Medicago truncatula: one gene and its partners. The protein of the gene in region 3 binds, or shares a complex with, the protein of the main gene of each other region. Links are inferred from orthologs where the notes say so. Each region holds a gene or a part of one and is shown on either strand. Other genes may lie near its edges.

Evidence for each region.
Region 1: the proteins of probable inactive ATP-dependent zinc metalloprotease FTSHI 4, chloroplastic (region 3) and uncharacterized protein are in contact, whole or in part, in a cryo-EM structure (PDB 8XKV), measured with the Arabidopsis thaliana proteins. The link is inferred for Medicago truncatula from reciprocal best matches to the Arabidopsis thaliana genes EMB3144 and emb2737. Residues at the interface, in NP_201263.2 of Arabidopsis thaliana: Asn149, Phe150, Ser151, Met154, Tyr170, Gly171, Gln172, Arg206, Met207, Pro208, Ile209, Asp210, Gly211, Asn213, Asp214, Asp232, Val233, Val234, Glu237, Thr240, Thr241, Thr244, Phe245, Trp248, Leu252, Phe255, Val256, Tyr259, Asp263, Thr266; in NP_001032071.1 of Arabidopsis thaliana: Pro63, Glu64, Ser67, Ser70, Tyr71, Ser73, Val74, Val77, Ala78, Leu80, Gly81, Asp84, Ile85, Asp88, Lys92, Cys102, Asn103, Trp105, Gln106, Ala107, Leu108, Arg109, Lys114, Gly115, Thr116, Gly117, Gly173, Thr174, Gly175, Ala176.
Region 2: the proteins of probable inactive ATP-dependent zinc metalloprotease FTSHI 4, chloroplastic (region 3) and ATP-dependent zinc metalloprotease FTSH 12, chloroplastic are in contact, whole or in part, in a cryo-EM structure (PDB 8XKU), measured with the Arabidopsis thaliana proteins. The link is inferred for Medicago truncatula from reciprocal best matches to the Arabidopsis thaliana genes EMB3144 and FTSH12. Residues at the interface, in NP_201263.2 of Arabidopsis thaliana: Lys91, Leu92, Arg93, Glu94, Glu96, Arg97, Leu100, Met103, Glu104, Val112, Glu115, Arg116, Val119, Met120, Asp123, Arg126, Tyr167, Tyr170, Asn213, Trp216, Lys217, His220, Val224, Asn225, Val226, Glu227, Val228, Asn230, Val231, Val234; in NP_565212.1 of Arabidopsis thaliana: Leu255, Ile258, Ile259, Asn262, Arg264, Ile265, Gln266, Lys270, Leu273, Leu277, Val279, Lys359, Leu360, Pro361, Tyr362, Thr363, Tyr364, Leu366, Lys368, Glu373, Asp382, Lys384, Arg385, Met390, Glu392, Tyr398, Asp401, Ile402, Pro403, Leu404.

The regions. Positions count from the first base shown.
Region 1 is NC_053043.1:39,212,588-39,219,858, reverse strand, and holds the start of uncharacterized protein, read left to right. Parts: upstream 1-4,262; 5' UTR 4,263-4,329; coding exon 4,330-4,554; intron 4,555-5,412; coding exon 5,413-5,477; intron 5,478-5,620; coding exon 5,621-5,719; intron 5,720-6,219; coding exon 6,220-6,355; intron 6,356-6,456; coding exon 6,457-6,516; intron 6,517-6,659; coding exon 6,660-6,719; intron 6,720-7,003; coding exon 7,004-7,126; intron 7,127-7,271.
Region 2 is NC_053049.1:19,170,010-19,176,957, reverse strand, and holds the start of ATP-dependent zinc metalloprotease FTSH 12, chloroplastic, read right to left. Parts: upstream 3,010-6,948; 5' UTR 2,892-3,009; coding exon 2,520-2,891; intron 1,270-2,519; coding exon 1,085-1,269; intron 81-1,084; coding exon 1-80. UniProt on the Arabidopsis thaliana protein: Probable ATP-dependent zinc metallopeptidase.
Region 3 is NC_053044.1:47,335,686-47,342,727, forward strand, and holds the start of probable inactive ATP-dependent zinc metalloprotease FTSHI 4, chloroplastic, read right to left. Parts: upstream 3,005-7,042; 5' UTR 2,866-3,004; coding exon 2,632-2,865; intron 2,534-2,631; coding exon 2,299-2,533; intron 1,630-2,298; coding exon 1,248-1,629; intron 1-1,247. Other genes in the region: O-fucosyltransferase 38, read right to left, coding at 4,434-4,572, 4,854-4,949, 5,655-5,839, 5,951-6,164, 6,276-6,412, 7,015-7,042. UniProt on the Arabidopsis thaliana protein: Functions in chloroplast biogenesis and chloroplast division. Required for plastid development during embryogenesis. Might be involved in chaperone functions or play a structural role in the thylakoid FtsH complex.

The DNA of each region.
Region 1 (7,271 bases), on a different chromosome or scaffold from region 3:
CTTGATCGCTATATGAGAATAATGAATTTTTTTTGGGTAAAAAAAGGATGCGATAATATACTTTAACTACATGAAAATATTAATTTTAATGTGTGATTTAACATTAGCACCCTAAAGACATAACTATCCCTGCAAAAAAATAAAGACATTGATCTCACTAGTAGTAAAAAAACTAAAATTCATGATATAATAACTATTAGATTATGTTTCCTTCAAGAAAAAAATTAGTAGATTATGTTTATTTGACTTTGTACTAAATTTTTTATTACTACCAGTTATTTTTTTAACAATATAATACTTTACAGTATCTATATGTTAATTAATTTATTAATTGGATTATAAACGCTCTTGAAATGCATCGAGTTCATATTTTAGTTGAAACAATCTTTTATAAGACTTTACTTATCTTAAAGTGAACTTTAAGTTATTAGAGCTAACTTCCTTGAGACTTTAAGGTATAAGAAAAAATAATTAATTATATCCTCCAGTTACGGTTATAAGCAAAACTCAATATTTTAGGTTCATTTATTTAATGATGTTTGTAATCTTGCAAGTACAAAATGTAAAATGCTTGTTTAAGTAATAATACAGTAACTAATGAGTACACTATACATAAGGAAATACAATTGATGACATAATAAGAGACAACTGTACATAGTCATCCAGCTTCTTCTACTTGCCTTTGCCACGATCAACCTGCTTATCTAAAATGAAATAAAGGGATTGGGGTGAGACATGATGTCTTAGTGAGTTCCACTTATCCTAGACTATAGGCAATCTTGGAAACCTATGATCGTCATTTATTTGTACATAAACATAATTTAGGGTTTGTTGTTCTATTTTGCACATCGTATCGATCTGGGGAAGTCTAGGATCATTGACAGTATACTATCATAATTCTTGTCATATCATATCATATTTCATGTTATCATTCTTTTTGGTTAGCACTGTGAGCGTGTAACACACAATTATTATCAGAGTTCATTTTACGGAATGCATCGGGTAGAGTAACCCCAACCACATTCCACTGTTGTCTGATGAAATTTCATATTGTATCAGGCTAACATCGGAACTCCTCTTATCGTCATGTAGGACTTGCATTGGAAAAATGTATGTCCACTACTGACGGGGAACCTCAACTCCAGTACTGACGCGAAGTGCGAATGCCATAACTTAACTGCTTATATAATTTCTTATAAACATAATTGTTGAAATTTGTCTTCAAATTTGTGTTTTGGGAGAATAGAGAAATCGTGACACGTCGTGTCACAATTTTCAGGCAGCGAGCATGGTTTTTCAGGGTGCTCAATCGTGTCACGTTTTTAGGAAAACGTGACACAATTTTCAACTTGCTGGGCACATTTTCAAGATAAGGTTGGCCGTACCTTGGGTCGTACGCACCAATCGTGTCACGATTTGGACAAACATGACACGATTTTGACAACTGAAGACTGCTATATAAGTGTTCTTGTGCAGATTTTGAAGAAGAGCTTTTAGAGAGAGAAACTTGGATTACAAAGGAGGTAACTTTAGGGTTGAGTGTCTTTGTAGTGAGGATCTCTTGGGTTGGGGAACATTGTAAACACCTTGGGTAGTGAGATTTCGCCATTGGAAGGATCAAAAAGCTTCCTTTTGTGTTTTCTCTTAAGATTCATTGAGAGTGAGGGTGACACAAAATGGGTAGAAATTAAGTCTTGTTCTTGTGTAAGCTTATAAGCTAATTTCTTGTAACTATTTTGTAACTCTTTCATCATAGTGGATTGGAGGGCTGCTCTCTCCCCCAAATTAGGTCATATTGGACCGAACTGAGCCAACAATCTTGGTGTGTTTGTTCCTTTCTTTCATTGCTTATCTTTATTACTTTGATTATGCTTGTGGTGTTGCTCTACACTTAGATTTAGGTCTGTTTTTGTTGTTGATGTTTGAAGACACTTTATCTATTGATTACCACTTCCTTTGATCCACACATCTTTGTTATTCATTTCCTCCTTTACTGATTTTGCTACAATGATCAGCCAAGTGACACAAAATTTTCACGAGATAGCTTATATATATGTAGGAGGAAATGACCCAAATGCCCTTCTTAAGAATTTTCCCCGATTACTAATTACTTATACATTATTTTTTTTTCTTGACATAAACTATTAATTTAATTATCAAACTACCATTCTGGTTTATAATCTCTATGAAAATACAATAAATATTCATAAATATACGAAATCCATCAATTAATTAGTAGCTAATATTAAAATTAGCAATCAAATTGATAGATTTTATGTAATTTAAAGATGAATTATTATATTTATAAATAAATTGAAGAGAGAGTGATAGTTTTTGAGACTAAATAATAGCCGACCAAAAAAACTAGTTAATTAATGGATTTTCTCTTAGAGAATAAAAACAATATAATAATTTACATATTTATTTTTTTATTTAATAAAATTAGTAAATTTATCCCCTCTCGTAAAGTATTTTTCATAATATGTCCTTGTGAGCTTAGCTCAGTTAGTATGAATAATGCATAATAATATATAAGGTCCGGGGTTCAAACCCCAGCTACCACAAAAAAAAAAAAGTATTTTTCTTAACATGCAACAAATCTAATGCCATCGTTGAACTTATTTTGTTGAGTAAATAACTCTAGGAGTATTTCATATTGGTCAGAGGGACTTATAATAGGAAACCAATTGAGTATTTTATATCGATTGTGCATCAATCAACAATAAAAGAGATGGGTTTCCTTAAAAAAAAAAAAAAAGAGATGGGGTTGGGTAGCTCAATAGTTTGATCTTGAACGATAAGAAGTTGGAGGTCTTGGTTCAAACTCGGGTAAAAGAGAAAAACTAATCTAATAACTAAGTATAGATCAATTGTTAAGGAATAAGAAGTTGGAGGTTTGAGTTCAAACCTGAACAAAGAAATAAATGTCAATCTAACAACTTGAATCACATAATTAAAAAAAGGTTTCATAACACATCTTTACATGGAAATCCGTTGAGGAAACAATAAATGTCGCATTTACAATTGTTTGAGTCACCTTCCACCACCGTATTCGTTCAATCTAGTTTTGCGTCCAAGAATTCCTATCAACCACCACTTGACCTCCTTCAATTCCATATTTGTCCCATTAATTTCGTAGCTAATTCTTGAGACAAATATGAAGAAGAAGGGGGATAAAGGAAAAATATTTTAAGATGAAATCAAGAATGATAAAATGAAGCTATGAGATTGAATTAATCAAATGAAATGATGAAAACAAAGAAAGAAGAATATTAACAGATATTGAAGCATAAGGAAATCAGAAACCCTATAGATGTTTGATTACTGTGTGTTGTTGAGGCAAAGACTCTGTTGGGATGGCCATGTGAGGGCAGTAGAGGGGTGGACGCGCAACACATAGAAGTTTCTCAAAAATTAGAAGGAACAAAGGAGAGTGGAGATAGGGGTGTCATGGAAATCAAAATGTTGCATATGGACAAAGAAATGTGCCTTGGTAAAAACAATTGGTTGCTTCGTACAAAGTATTATTTGGTAAACTTCGTGTATAAGTAATGTAGAGTTCATGAGAATTTATTATTGTCGAAATTATTGCTTTGAAGACGGAAATGACAATTCAAATTCAAACTTGTATATGCAAGGTTAGCAAGAATTGGGAGGAAAATGGCTAGTTAGAACCCGCAGTCCATTATTATATTCAGGGGCCGGGGTTCGAACCCCGGACACCCTACTTATTCATTCTATAAGGTAAATTCTGGCCACTAGATTACCTGACAAAAAAAACCGCATTTAATGTTGGCGTGAGCCTTATTACGTAAGCTCATGTGAGGGGGAGGGAAACCAAGCTTATGATCAGGATTATTCAAAAGCTTAACCTAATAAGCTTTTATAAAAAGAAGAAAGAAGACAATCTCAAATTTTCAATATTTTATCATATCGACTTTTTTTTCATATACACATATAAATTTTGTTTTTTATATAATTACCGCAGGGGTCTTCTACTAGTTTGTATTAAATAATCTATCATGATACATTTTTTTTTTTTTTATCATTGAATTTATTTTTAACCAAAAATGCAAAATGTGAGTTTTTATATTGCTATATAAATATTTCCATAAAAATAAATAATACCGCAATAAAATAAGAGTTTTATGATACCGAATTGACGATCTAAAACTAACTTTTCACACAAAATTAATCAAAAACATTTAAAATTGATTTATGAAATTATGAGGTAGTGAAATTTATTAAACTCCTTTCCCTCTTTGAACTCTATCTATCTTCTCTATCCACTCCCTTTCATTCACTCAGTCACTCTCCTCCCGCCACGCCATGCCCAAACGACCTCGCGGTTTCGGCAATTTCGTCAAGAAATTCTTCAGAAATCGCTTCAAGGAATTCAACAACGCTTATGGCGAAACAGTTAGCGATGTCTTTGCTTTCCCCTTCAAAGTTCTCTTCACTCCTTTGACCGTTGCAATTGATATTGCTGGTTCTGCTCCTCGTGGCTTTGGTGTTCCTGAGCTTGTTTCTAAGCTCTCTGCTGCTTCTGTTTTTGTTAGTTTTGCTTACCCTTTTGTATTTTAGCTTTAAAAATCGATTCTTTTTGTGTTTTGCTTATCTGGGTTATCGTCAACTAGTTCTATTTGTCAATTTTGTGTTTTTTAAGGTGAATTGTGTTGTTTTGTTGAGGTTATGTTTTTGGGTTTGTGGGGTTTTGTGGAAATTATTGATGTTTTTTTGTTTATTTATTTTTCCTTAGTTTCTGGGTTTTGGAGGAAATGAGATTTAATGTTGGGTGCTTTGTCGAAAATTGAAATGAATGTTATGTTGCTATGAAACTGTGACACCTACACGAGACATGGCACTAACACTTCAACGCCGATGATAGTTTGAAAAAAATGGAAATTTGAAGGTTGGTGCTACATAGGTAATTTCATCAAGGGTGCTACCATGTGCCCTTGCCATAAGGGCACATGTTAAGGTACTTGAATGTAGAAATTTTGCATTGAAAAGAGCAGCTTTTGGACATTTAAGAAATTGATTACACAACTGTAGTTTTTTTTTTTTTAAGGATAATGTATGTAGTTTCTTAACATTAAGGGCACATGTTAGTTTCATCAAATGAGATTATTATTTTTTTTTGAAAATTGCTGCTGATACATCCTTTATTGTACTCTTTGATGGACTTTATTTGAGTTCATCAATTAGTCAATGACTACCACAAAATGTATTGAGTAAATTTTTATCAAATAATAGATAGTGTATCAGAAAAAATGTTATAAAGTGTGTTGCTAGTGTTCTTCTTTTGATGTTTGCAGGAATTGCATTGTATGCAAGTATCACCATTGTTAGTTCTTTGTTTTGTTTTTATCTTTATTTGATAATGAATATTGCTGCATGGCTTGATTGTAGGCGGTTGCTACTTTGGGGACTTATGACATTGCATTAAACTTGGGAAGGAAGGTGATATGTCAAAGGTGCTGTTTTGTTTTGTATTTATTAATAGATAGATTGTTGTTTCCTCACTTGAGGACATGATGTGTATAATCTTTGGTTAGTGTAGTGTTGTTTGTTGCCTTTGGAATTATTGAAATCTAACTAAATGTGTTATCAAGAACAGGGACTGTGTGACATGTAATGGATGGCAGGCCATGCGGTGTACCATGTGTCGAGGAAGTGGAAGAGTCCACTATCAAGTGAAGAATTGCCACCTGAAGAGGTGAGTACTCTCCATGTGGAAAAAAGTCAGAGTTTACAGGCATTATTCCAATGTAGTTTGTGGTTTATTTAGTGTTATTGTTGAAGTTTTTAATAATGAATTAATGATCTCACAAACTTGTAAAACAGTTGATTCCAATCTCATAAATTGAGATTCTAGTTGTATTTTAATACTCTGCAATCTTTATCTTTTCGGTTCATTTTTGGTTACATGTCTAGATAGTTCAAGGAAACTTCTAAAGTAATAAACTTTGCACTATAAACGATTATAGTGACTCTTACTTAGATGGTCTTTTAGAAGGCCTCTTAAGAAAACGTACATCTGATTTAGAACAATTTGGGTATGTAAGATAGTGCAGTAAAGTGTTTTTCCGTAAATAACTCCCTCCATTTTGATTCCTTGTAGCATATTTTTTTAATCATAATTTCATAGGATTCTCTCTTCGAACTAATATATAAATACCTTATATTTTCTTCTTCAATTTATTTATTCACTTTTAGTGGAGAGAAAGCGACGGCCGAATCTGTTGCAGATGCCATTGTCAACAACCAGGCTGAGTTAGTGCACATACCATCATCCTCTTTCGATCCTCAGATACCATTACCATCAAAAGACTGTCCAATTTGCGATGGAACGGTATGAACTCAATACAATGGCTGTTAACATGATTGATCTAGTAATTTTGCACGCCAATGCTGTTGTGATTTGTGGTTGAAGAATTTTTCGATATTGCACAGGGTGTAATGGGATGTCCTGAATGTAAAAACAAATTACCATTTAAGATTTCAGCTGATGGTGTGAGTTAATTTCTTTAATTCCTTGAACCTATTTTTTCTTTCTTTCTAAATTGTTAATTTTTGCTGATTCATATTTTAAACTTAAATATCATTTGAAATTGTGATAATTCTTACCATTTTTACGTGCCCTTTCTTTGTTTAAGATTATGGAGCCCCATTGGCAAGCTCGTAATGTCTTGGAAAAGATGGATTATCCATATGAGGTCAGTCGTCATTCTAAATTCTCACCTAATTCTATCCGACCAATTGCTATTATTGTCAAAATTGATAAGATAATGTAGACCTCTCTCATATACTACGAAAACAAACCTTGATGCCATACATTTATAGTCATTTGTTAACCTCTCTGTACTATTACCATCGGAGTGAATGCTTCTCTTAGATTTACATTTTATGCAAACTACTAATTAGTATTTTTTTCATTTGAGATTCTCACTCTTATTTGACACCGTATTCTTAATCTTTTTTATGTTTTTAATATTTTCAGCACATAAGGGATAGCATGAAAGATCCCGATATTGCTGAATTTTGGTTGATTGCCTATCCACAGATTATGTATGGATTTACCTATGGCGACAATGCAAAGAAGACAATATTGTCAGAGTATGAGGTTGTTTGTTCATATTCCTTCTTATTTTTCAGTTTCAGTTCAACTATTCATGTATTGATTTGTCCCCTTATTGGTTTTGATATGCTTTTATTTTTCCTTTTGAATGTCCTCTTTGCTCGTTCAAATTATTCCTTTTGGACTTATC
Region 2 (6,948 bases), on a different chromosome or scaffold from region 3:
GTGTTCCATCAGGTCTTTCAATAAACTTTTTAATTTTCAGGCCTTTTGGCATTGTCTTCCTCCACACGACCTTCTTGAATCTACAATTAAATGATGAAAACCTTGGTTAAATGCATACAACACATTAAATGATTCAGTACATGAAATTGATTTCAATTTAGTATTCAGATAGGTCAGCAATTGTTTGAACAGTGGCGAGAAGCTTTTGGGGGTTTTAAGGGCAATGTCAAAATTATACGCAAGAAAATTCACAGATAATGATTTATAAGTACTAGCATCATTAATGTTGTAGTATTGTTTAGTTCATGGAGAAGTTGTGGTCATAGCTTTAAATTAAATTACAGTTGAGGTTACATACTAGATTTTTGGTCACTGTAATTGTAACTGCTGCAGGGAGCAAATACAATGCCAGTTACTGTCAAAACAGCTTCGAAATTTTTCAAGCTTCTGGCCATGAAATTTTATTTTTGAAATAAAAAATACAGCATTATTTCTATAAGCTGGTGCAGTCGCCGCAAATACATAGTGGATGATTTTTTTGAGGATATTTGAAACCCCCCACAATTCGACATGATGCCAAATGCCATGCCTCAACTACTATTTTTTTACAGGAAAATGTTATTATAAGTAAATTAGTGGTTATGTTAGTTTCCAGTGTTTGAACTCTAGACAAGCTGGTTATAACTCCTCGACTACTATTATGGCTGCATTAAATAGCACAGTCCTCAATTTGAAACCAAGGGTGTAAATACATCATCATTCATGAAATGTCAAGGCCAAGAAAATGGAACACTCAACATCAAGCATGTCTTGGTCAAATCAACAAGACAGCATGTAGTTCAAAGAGACGAGCTACCCACATTCTCTTTTGAACACTCTCTACTATTGTCTTGTTTTAGTAACTAGAACTCTATTGAGTAGGATTTAAGTAGTGAATGAATATTATACATTCCGAAAGAAGAAGAAAAAGTTCGATAAATGAACAACTTAATTTCTAAGAGAATTATAACCAACAATTTGATATGTCAAAAGTGTATATAACATATGAATGCCAAACATAATGAATAAACGAGGCTTGACTTACTTTCTGATGTTAGTCGGGGTTGGCGCGGGAATTAACACTTCCATGTAGGCTTCAGTCGACTCTTTCCTCTGGTGGTTTAGGAAAGGTGCTTGAATTGCTACAAATACTCCTCGACAAGCAAATGCTACAACAAATATATACAGAACTAAAGCACCGATTCGCCTAGGTTCCCAGTTCTTGACATTCTGGTATAAGAATAAACTACATTGTTTTAGTTCATATTTAAAAAGAAATAGATAATAACAAAAGTAACTGGAGCCAATTATACGAATAAAGCAAGTAATCCACTTCTGCCATGCTGATCCAACAGTTTATATAGCATCTCTTTCGGTCAAAACAAATTTATCAGGACACAAATGGTTCTAGGATAGAAAATACATAAATGCCAACAAAGTCGATCCCATTCATTAAACAAATGCAATGCTATCCTGTCCTATCAATCCTATCAGGTATGTAAAGAAAATGAGAGATATTATGTCCCTGTTTAAATAAACAGTTTAATTAAGTGTTTAGATCAGAAGCGTGAATCATACAAGAGCTTATGTATAAGCTACCTCTATAACAAAAGATAAAATCAAATCAAAAATAATTTATATAAGCTGTAAGCTGTTTTCATAAGCTATCCTAGAGAACTTGTTGAAATAAGTCGAAAACAGCCTATAAATATATCATAAGTTTCTTCCATAAGCTCTCTTAAACAGTCTCTTGAGTGCTTATGTCTATAGATAAGCTCAAATAATCTACTCCCACTCATCAAACAAATGCAATGCTATCCTATCATATCATATCCTGTCAAGTATGTAAAGCGATGTTGTCAAACACTAGAAGTGGAGAACTGCGGGTTCGAACCTGCACCCCCGAATGTCAAGTGTCCCTGCACCCTTTTACTATTTAAGTTGTACTTACGGAACTATAACTATCATTTTTCTAGTTTCACTTATAATTACAAAAATGTCACCTTATTTCCTATTCACATTTTCATGTTCAATACAACAGATACTGAAAATAAAATTTGTAACTATCGGTAAATTAACAGTCCCTAACAAGTAACAATTATACCAAAACTCAAACATCATCCCAATGAAAACGAAACAATCTTAACAAACCAAACACTAAATGGTCTGTTTGGATTGACTTATTTGAGTTTACCTAACGGCATGAGTTTTGTGAGAACTTACGAAAACAGCTTATGACCAATGTCTGGTCATAAGCTGTTTTCATCTTATTCTCATAAGTTCTCGAAGATAGCTTATTGAAACAGTTTACAGCATATACAATAACAATTTAACTTTCATTTATCTTTTGTTATATAACTAGCTTATACATACGCATTTGTGCTATAAGCTGCAAATAAGTTGCTTATCCAAGCACGGCCTAAATTCTATCTCGTATCACCTATGAATAAAACTAACAACAAAAGTAAAAATCTCATTACCTTCCAATTCTCGAACCGGTTCCAATCAACAAACTCATCCAAACTCGGAATTCTCAACTCACTTCCAACCTTCCTCACACCATCCACAAACTCACCAACCTTCCCAACCCCATCTCCCAAATCAACACCCGTCTCTTTCTTCACCATATCTCCAAATTTCACCAAAAACCGCCTCGAAGCGCGGTCCAATGACTCTGACCAAGATGACCCATCAGCTCCATTTGGGTCTGCTGTAGATGAAGCTCGAAGCTTGAGCTTTCTGCGATGGTTACTGAAGTGTAGAGTGAAAAAGTTAGGATTTTGAAGAGATGGGGTTAGTGGTGATGATGAAAGAAGAAATGGGTTTGAAGGGTTTGGAAATTTGAGAGCCATTGATGGATTTTTCTACATGGAGCAGGAGGTTCTTGGTTTCATTTCTGTAGTAAAGATGATTTTGGAATTTTGGGGTTTATGTTACGTTGAGGATGAAGGGGTTTATCCATCATCCTTTGTTTCATTTATTTATCTAATCATATAAAAAATGCAAAATTACATTTTTAATCATTTAACTTAATTTCAGATAACAGTTTGGTCTTTTACCTTTTTTTTTTTTTAATTTGGTCTTTTTGTCCATTTTCATATACATTTTCAAGTTTCAAATCTAAATTCTTATACAAACATAGACGAAGATCATAGATTTAAAGACTGAAGGACCATAAGAAAATAAAATCATGAATTTTAAGTTTAAAAACTCATGAAAATAGACAAAAAGGACCAAATTGAAATGAAAAAAAGATAAAGGACCATACTGTTATCTGAAATTAAGTTAAGGGACTAAATGTGTAATTTTGCCTATAAAAAATAATTAAATTGATAATATTTTAAAGGTTTAATAGCAGTTTTGACACTCTAAGTATCACAAGGTTGCGATTTTGGCATCTTAACAAAATAAAATCCAATTATCCAACCCCCTAAATACCGACCTTTTTGCAGTTTTGGCACCCCAGACCAATTTTGACCAAGTCAATGTACAAAAAAAAATTTAATTAAAAAATAATTTTTTTATTTTTTTAATATAAAAATAAAAAAGTTACACAAGTGGGGTCTACATCAGCATTGACTTGGTCAAAATTGGCATTGGAGGCCAAAACTACAAAAGGGAAATACTTAAGGGGCTGGATTGTATTTTATTTTGTTAGGAGGTCAAAATCTCAACTTTTTGATAATTAAGAGGCCAATACTGCTATTAAACCTATTTTAAAATGTTAAATGAAAATTATCTACAATTTTGGTTCCTAAATTTAAATCAATTCATGTGTATCATTTATATTTTTGGGTTAAATATGTTTTTTAATTCCTCTACAAAATTTCTTTCACTTTTAATCTCTTAAAAAATTTCAATTTCATTTCTTATTTTTTTAATGAAAATCTTTAGGAATGTTTAAAATATTATAAGAATATGTCCCAAAAATAATTCTAATTTTTTAACTGAACATAAATTAAATATAAATTTTTTATTTTTTAATGTTGGTCATCGAGAAACAACTTCACCAACCTTGTCTCACCTTATGCCCTTATCTTTCACAAGATGTGTATTTGGTTATATTCGTGAAGTAGTATTTCATAGGTATTTGTTGAAATATTTTTTATAAAGTAAAAAGAATAATTATGATACTTCTTAGCTATGAAGCTCAGATACTTTAAAATAGAGACGTATTCGTATCGGATATCAATATTATACTCGTGGATACGTAAGCACAAAGTATCGGAATTAATTATTTAAATTTTTTAAAAAATATTTTGTCGGATACTTATATGATACTCCACATATACACAATGATACTTATAAGATACTTTACATATACTTATCCTAGAAAATATGAGGAGTAAAAAATTGAGACAATGTTGTAAAAATTGAATTGAGATGTATATGATTCAATTTTAGATATGCATCAGTAGAATTGTTTCTCGATGAACCACTTAAAATTATATTTTTTGTGGGATGAAGATAACGAGAGAGATGTGATTCAGTTAATCAATATTAAATAAAATTTGTGTTGAGTTCTTTTAATTATGCTTCACTCGATATCTGAACATATGAAAATATAATATGGTTTATAAGAAAACTTTACATTTTTTTATTTTGATCACATGTATTATTTTTGTAAAATTTTGACTTTTATATTAATATAATAATAAAGAATAATCAATGTTTACTTCATTCAAGTATTTTACATACATTTAAGTTCTAGTATAAATTTTTTATTAATGTGCCGTATTGTATCCTACATTTAAAAAAGTTCATATATCCGTGTACCCGTATCGTATCGTAATCGCACTTGTATCCTTATCCGAGCTTCATAGCTTCTTTGCTATGTATCCACCAATATATTCTTATGCCCAAAATTTTCAATTTATGTATTAATTTAGTGTTCTTTTCTGTTGGCAAGGGACACATGTTTATTTCACAGATAGTGAAAAGAGTAGAGCAGCTAGGAGAAATATAAGAAACTAAGCACTTGCCACTTCTAATATCAATTGTAATGAGATGATTGTAAATATATGTGTTGAAATTTGTAATTATTGTATGGATTTAATATAGTCATATCATAATATGCAAATAGGAGCAAATCTCCAATATTTATTTTGTAGTTACTATTGCTGCAAGTCTATATAAAACAAACTCTGAAGAAACGATATATGAACAAAGAATTAGTATGTATCTTATAATCCAGAAACCAGTCTAGATTATAAGCTATTTTCTGGAGAAAATTAGTATGTATCTTATAAGTTGCAATTAAGTTGGTAGAAGTCACAAGTCATAGAGGTATGACGAGCCATTTGATGTTTGACTATTCTCTACCCATCAAAAGTTGTTACTCCACAGTGTATGTTTAATTATTCTTTGAGAAAGTAATGCATGAACTTGCTATCATCATTGGTAAGGTTACCAGGAAACAAGTAATTGCATGATACGTTCATGACTTTAGTAGATACAAGAACACAATCTAATAGCTAAATATCTGTTAGGATTTTTTTTCTATTTACTATGGATTTACCAAGAACAATTTCCCTAGAAAATTTGTCACTCAATTAATGCTACTGCCAATTCAATAGGTATTCTGTAGCAAACTTCTAGCTAAGGTAGTTTGCTAGAGAGTTGCTACAAATTTAGCTGCAAAAGTCTTCGTAGCAACAAGTATATATTGTTGGAAGGGATAATGTAAGTGTTCAAAATATGTTCCAACGGTTTATTCATTACATTTTAAATTTTACATAATATAAATAGAATTTCACATGATAGTCCAAAATGATCTACATTTTTATATAAAAAACTAACATGCTCTTGTCACGGGTCATTTATGCTAGTACTTATGTATATGTGAGACTATAGAGAGTATTTTAAATTTGACAAAAATGTCAAAGGCAGAAATTGCTCGAAGGAAAACTCATTTCTCAACATTCGTAGTAACAAAAGCATTCAGAAGTAAAAAAGCCTTCACAAGAACCAGATACTGCATCCAAGTCCGAGTCGATGCACTTTGCATAGCACACTGAGTCAATACATGGGCTTGACAATGTTCTATTTGGCTTACCACAAAGTTTTGCTTCCACCTCTACACATAAAATTAAAAAATAATAATAAAAGAAATTAAAAAACTAAAAAATAAAAACTTAAACAAGGCATAGAATTAAAGAAGCACGTGCAAATAAATATAGGTTTATTAGTTGATTTTTACCCCATGTGAAAATAAGGAGAAATACAAGACAAAGCAAGATCAAGATGAATATGGTGTAGAATTTACTAAGAGAGGAAGTCATGGTTTATAACCCTAAATGTTGTCCTCTACAAACTGTGCCAACAAAATGTTTGTGTCTATGTGTATGGAAAAATTAGTTGAACTTTTTAAGTTTTATTTTTTAATTTTTAATTTATATTATCTATCTACTTTAATTCACCCATATATTATGTCTAGGAACCAAGGCATCGAAAAGTTTATAGGGAAGAAAATCCAATTTTCAATTATTATTATTACCAATCAATTTTGATTCACCCATATATCCCTTTTAGGAACCAAGACATGGAATTGTTTATTGGGTAGAAAATCAAGTAATTTAGAGGCGACATGTGTCATAACGAGTAATTTTGTCTAGATTTTTATTCATGTAAGTTGTCAGTACAAAATAAATGTATAATGTAAATCAATTGTAATTGTTAGAATAAAAATGAATTGATTTTAATTATAGCTGCTTCTTTTTAAAATTTACAATAGAATTAAAATATGACTTTCAAGTCAACATTCTAACTTTGTTATATATTACTATGAGTAAAGAAGAAAAACTCTATCCCCGTGACCTTAGCTCAATTGGTAGGGATATCGCATTTTATATGCAGGGGCAGGGATTCGAACCCCGGACACTTCACTTCTCCACAATTAAATTGTGTGAG
Region 3 (7,042 bases):
ATATGGGTTTCATAAAATTTACGATGGGTTGAATTTTCAAATTAAAATAAATACAGCATAGTAACTCAACAGGTTAAAAGGAAAAGCTTGTTAACTATTTATGAAATTCAATCACATTTATTTTTCGTGCCCCTTTCCAGTCCCTGCATGAAGGCTTATATACACACACACACACACACACACACACTAATATACCCCCTGAAATACCTCAAAATATCACAATGGAGAAGGATGATAAAGACCCAAGACAAGCCAAAATCAGCATAGAGTTTCATACATCAACCATTGTAAAACAAAAATGGAAAATCCAAGTTTGAAAGGAACGGTGTATTGCCCATTTTCCTTTAAGTTTACACATCAAGTTACTTCAAAAAAAAAATGTACAGGACAAATTCAATCCTCTAAATGATTTTTTTTTAACAGTTGATTTATGAAGTGCAGTAGAACCAATGCAGCCCACAAGCTTACAGTGTAAGGACTTGCAAAGTAACTAAGAACTTAGGATTTAAACAGTAACTAGTAACATTGTGCAGACTAATCTGAATTCAAACATGATTTTATGAACGAATAGAAAGTTTGAGTTTTTGAGATAATTTTCCTGACAGCAACTGAATTATATGTTGCACCTCTTTTAAAAAAGTACTGATTGTATTTTATTCTTTCCCTATTTTCCTTATTTCCTTTTATTCTTGATATGATATATGATATGGTACACTAGATATACAACTGTAATCTCTCTCGATCAATCCCAAAGCTCTGTGGGTTCTTTTCTTGTACAGAAAGTGTGTTTTGCATTATGTCATTCCTAAATGAATAAGAGATTAGATATGCTTGCTTCAAGATCAAACAACGAATCTCAAACAAACATCATAGCTAGGTTCTGAAGTTGAACAACTTCAATTGAATGTACATCGGAAGTTCCTAAAAGCCTATTGATCATGAAACAGGAATTTCCAATGAAAGCTTTTGAAAGGTACATTAATGATTGCCGCTCATCAGTTTCAAGTGGAAGAAAGGGGAAAATGCAAGTAGGTCATATTTTCCTTGCCCGCAAAATGGTTCTAAATTTCTAACGAAAAACCAGCATCAGCAATTAAGACCAAAGAAAGAGATAAACTTTCTAGTAAATCTTAATTACAAGCAGAATGACATATCTCAAGCAACTAAAACTAACACTACACAAAAATGAAATTTCAGTCAACCAAGGGGAAGTGGGATAGGAAATAGAGAAAAAGTATTGCACTGACCGACTTTTGCCTAGAGAACCAAGTGCGTGTCTTCTTAAGGCTGGCACCTTAGTTTGTGGGGTAGGCGGAGGAGTTCCCAAATCACAAGGTATCAACTTTGCATATATTGGTCTCATCAAATTATCAATCCACATAAAAAATCCAACAGCCAGGGCAAGACGCATAGACCATACAACTGCAGTTGCAACCGTTGAGTATACTTCAGCAGGTACAGCATCTACATTAATGACATCAACATTTACATTTTGTTGATGCAGCTTCCCCCAAACATCATTCCAACAATCAATCGGCATTCGATCAACCGCATGACGCCGAAAAACAATATCCTTGGGATTTTCTTCAGTGCCTGATGTTTTTACGTTCTTGTAATATGGTAAAATAACTGCAGACACACACACACACACACAAAAAAAAAAAGACAGCATTCAGCAATACACATTCCAACCAGACTGGTACAGCAACATATGCATTGTTCATTAGAAGGAGCATTTCTAAGCATGATAAGATAATGTGAAATAGCTAAAAAAATCCCAATAGCACATCCTTCAGAAGTTTGTTTTGATAAACATATAAGTACTTATATACGAGCTATTGCTATAATTAAAGATAAAATTAATGTCCTGTCTGGATAACCTGCTTCATTAAGCACTTATCATATAAGTGCTTGTGTTTAAGTTACTTCTATAACAAAATTCAAATGATTTCCACATAAGATATAAGATGTTCTCATAAGCTATCCTGGAGAACTTATGGAAATAATCAGAAAACAACTTATGGACGTATCATAAGTTGTTTCTATAAGCATTCTCAGACAATCTCACAAGTGCTTATAACCAGTAGATAAACTCAAATAAGTCAATTCAAACAAACCCTAAGTCAAACTGTTCTCATATAAGCTATAAGTTGTTTTCATAAGCTATCATGGAGAGCTTATATGAAAATAAAACGAAAACAGCTTATGGACATCTCACAAGCTATTTACGCAAGCTGTACCAAACAGTCTCACAAGAGCTTATGCCAGTAAATAAACTCAAATAAATAAGTGTGGCACCTGATAAGGTCTGTCCATAATCAGAGTACTCAATAGACTTGACAGCATTGGAGTCGAGCAATTTCAAAAAATCACTGAAATCAATCCTATGTGAATTTTCAGGATCCAATTCAGTTCCTTTTAATTTCCCACGAAAAGTCAACAAAGCTCTATTCCATGAAGAAGCCAATATAAGTTGCCTATCTAACTGCACATTAGCCTTCCTCTGAAGTTCTTCCATCTCATTCACCCGATTCTGCACACACAATTTTTCTCGTAAATTCACAACTTGAACATGAATTTTCACCTTATACAACTAGAATTTCATTTTTTTTTTTTCAATTAAAAGCTAACCTCGAAAAGCTGAAGAGATTGAGCATCTTCATCGTTGGAGGAAGATGTATTTGAAACATTGGAAGCGGTGATTCTGAGTTTGCAGTTGCGAGGGTTTTTGTATGGGAATTTGGTTCTAAGAAGGCGTTGAGAAAAACAAGAATGAGGGAATTGGGTGAAGAAGAAGGTTTTGCGAGGGAATAAGGGTTTTGGGAGTTGAAGTAATTCGATTCTGTTTGAAATTTGAGGATTCATGTTTAGAAGCAATGGCGAAATGAAGGGAGGAAGAGTTTCAGATAGTCATTGGCATCATATCCAAAACACACTCTTACTTTGATTACTATCTGTCTGTTTTCTGCATTTTGGGGTTCTTGTCTGGGTTTATGGGAATATCATTGTTTATCTTCTCTTCTTTTATTTTATCTGTGTAAAACAATTTAATAATTTTTCGAATCAATTGAGAAATGATTTTGGAAAATTAATTTTAGACGATTTTCACGATAACTTTTTAAATAGTTAACACAGTTTAAATAAATAGTTAATTTTTTTTTAGAGTTAAAGGTTAATTTTTTTTTAGATAGTTGATAAAGTAGGTTTTAAATTTGTCTATGTTTAAACCTAGATACCCCCCTTCTTATAAATTTTTAGTTATAAGCTACTTGACTAAAAATAAAAGTAGTGTAACAATGCAACTTCATTAACCACAAACTTGAATACAAATTTTAAATCTACGTGTAATTGAGTATTTGAAAATCATGGTTAACCACGTCTAAATTTTGTGGTGAATGAGTTTCGACACTTGATATATTCATTAATTATCTCATAATAAAATTACTCCATCCGATCGTATTTATAAGAAAAAATTGACTCTGAAACCCATTTTATAAATAAGACCGGAGAAAACATCAAATTTTACTGGGTTTTTACTTCATTTATTACTCCAAGTGAGAGAATTACTACATCACACAGAAAGAATGAGAAAAGATTTAATAATCGTAAAAATTAATTAATACTATAAACAAAATGGCAATTTTAAATCGTAGTATGGATGATAGGGATGATTTACAGCACTCGCCCTAATATTTTATTTCCAACACACTCTTATATATGATAAAATCCACGTAGGTCCATCTAAATTTGAGAATAAAACCCACATAAAGTGATACACCATCTTTAGTAAATAAGTATAAAATGACAAATAAATATAGATACATTTTTTGTTTTATTTAAAGATGATAAATGATTAACTTAATATACAATAGAGATAAAAAAAAAAATTAATTAGAATTAATAAGCTATAAGATCACATACTAGTTCAAGTCGCATCTAAAAAATGCTATAAGTTGATATAAGCAAATTATAAACTAACAGGGATAAGGTCATCTACCAAAAAAATTAACTATAAGATGATAGACGAGACTAGCTTGTCAAACATAATAACCAAAGATGGGAAGCTATTAAACTTTACAATGTAATAACATCTTGCCTTCCGCAATGGCTTCACCTGTAGACTAGAGTTCATTTCGGAAGCACATGGGACGGGGGTATTCTATCTATGAATTAGTATATAATGCCGATGGCTCAATGCTACTTGAAGTGAACTGTTGTACAGCTAAGGAGTTAGGCTGCCATCACTGTGGGTTTGTTGTTATGGGTTTCCAAAACCCCTGCGACCACATTGGTTCAAGGCACACGCAAGGAACCACCCATGTCGGAAATGGGTAGTTACAATTACAGTCTATCTAAAACATCTCCGCATATAAACAAGACCTTCCAAAAGCTTTAGATTGGAACTGGAACTGGAACTGCTGTATGGTTTCTTTTCACATTCTTTCTAGTTTGTTTCTCGAACCACATATACACTCTGGGTATGGATTTTCATAAAAGGACTCTTCAGTCCTGAAACGTGCCCGGCCTTTAACTCCCGGTAATGAACCTTGTCTTTTCCTTGGAGCTCCTTGCCTGCACATACGATTAAGAAAAATATGGAAGTTATTTTGACTTGAATAATTTGCAAACTGAAGTCAACAAGAGGTGAAAGGGAAATGATAGATGAAACAGAAGGAAATATATTACAGATTCAAAGGCAAAAAAAAAAAAAAAAACTTCTATGTTAAAGAAAAATTAATGATTTTAACGTCTAATCATCAAATCATTCATAATATGGTCACAAATGAGGGACAAAAAGGAGAGGGAATCTATTGAGCCCAAAAACATGATTTAACATTAAGCAAGAAACTTACCTGTTCTTGTGCATCCGCTGCACCATATGTGACAGTGCCGCTCCTTCTACTAGCTCTCCAGTTTCCAGCTTATCAAATATTCCAACAAGTCCTTTCCTGAAAATAAAAGGAATAAGAAGATTAAAGAGATATATTGAAGAATTAAAATTGTCAAGGCCTCTGGGTGGTCCAGTTTCTGAACTATCAGAAACTCAAGTATTTCTCTACAGAAGCAAGTGAAATAATGAGACGGTAAATTATTTAAACTTCCATAGCATATATATATATTTCATGGAACAAAAATAAGGGTTTATATACTATGCGGAATCAATATAATTGGAAAGGGAACAGATGGGGAATCCCATCAACTTGTATCATAACTGAAGTAGACAATGAAAGCTTGAGAAAAGCTGAATACGATGCTCAGACAAGCTTGAGAAAAACTTAGATGATCGATTATTGACTTTTTTTAAGGAAAAAATTTAGATGCAGTACAATAAGTGCTGTTTGTACTGTTATACACTGAAATTTTACCTAAACTACCTTCTCCTATTTTTAAGGGAAACAATTTTGGTGATATTTGTATGTGCAATTAACAAAGCACGGTATCTATGGTACTGTACCTAAGTTTGATCCTTTTTTTAATCGTGATTATTGACTTGATTATAGAACACTGGTGGAAAAAAATAACTACATTTTGGAAAAGACAGAATCAAAATAAACGGAAGGAAAACAAGCCTATATCTCTATAGGTAGTTCAAAACTCACATGTATCAACATTCCCAAGAAAATTCTACAATTATAATTTCTTGAATTCAGTACCTGTCTGGGTTGATTGTTTTGCGGTGATCTAAGAACCTGCGGTGTCCCTCAACAGCTCGTGCCATATTTCCCGAATAAGATGGAACAAACACATCACTCTCTACAGAGATTATGTAATCGACTGCAGCATTTTGAGATGCATGATTGGTGAAAGCTTTTAGCTCTTCAGGAGTTGCAAGAGATTCCTGTTAACATTTATCAATCACTTAATCAGGCGAACACTGCGCCTCACCCAAAGATTATGAGCTATTTGAAGTACTTGTTAACACAGTTCGACAACATATTAGTTTGCGCACCTTAGAGATTAGATTAGGGAAGCGGGAAGAGAGCTCTGATAGATGAGTATTACCACCATAGATCTCCCCTGCAGCAATGTATATTGGTGTTGATGGGGGAAAGCCAAGAGCTTGAAGAAAAATGCCAACCTCCTTTGGAGTCAATGGACAAAATCCTCCAATTCTCTGTTCTGTTGAGTTTATCTTTTTTACTTTCCAATAATTTGTAGTCTCCCTAGAAGAATTGAAACAAACTTTTCTTAAAAATAATCATTGGAATTGCTGGGCATATATATTTCAAATACATGGTAGAATGATTCAGCACACATATAATAACTGATCTCACCTTAAAATTCTCAGCTCTTCAGATTCTGCATCTGTCAGACCATAAGCACAACCAGTAAAAGATAGCATATCTTTCTCATATCTTAGATGGAGAGCAATATATCTTTCCCCGCGTGATCTCAGCCGATCTACCAACCTCTGTTTTTTAACCGTCATGTATGCTCAGAACCTAATTTACCACGAAGCCCCATGTAGACATCTTAAATGCATCAAAAGTGAAGGACATTGTGATCCTGGGATCACATGCATCGTTTTCTAGCATGATGTACAGAAATATTGGACTTAAACTGGCAAGGTTTGAATCTAACTTTTCAGCATCTAAAATATTTAATTTGCCATGCATCCATGTGCCCTCAAGAAAATCCTCTTAAATTAAAACATTCATTCAAGAAAATCCTCAAGACAATAGTCTGAATCCTATTCTTTCTCCTTTGAAGTACAACTTTCTTAAGGATTTCCAATTATTATTTAGGCACAAAATGGAAAGCAGTTCATTTTAATTTGTATCTTTACATATGATATCACCTTTTTCATTCTCCCTAAATTGCTTCATTTAAAATGCTTTAAAAAATGTTAGTATATAATTTAATACACAAAAAAAATGTGAGAATTGAATCGGTTATTTCCTCTTTAATCTCTATCCCAGAATTTTATCAGTTAATAAATCCCAATATGATGCACAGATGATATTTCTATGGCACATATAGGAGCATAGCAGTTGCATCGAAAAAAGGCCAAACCTTTCCTAGATTCTCAATAGGAGGAGAA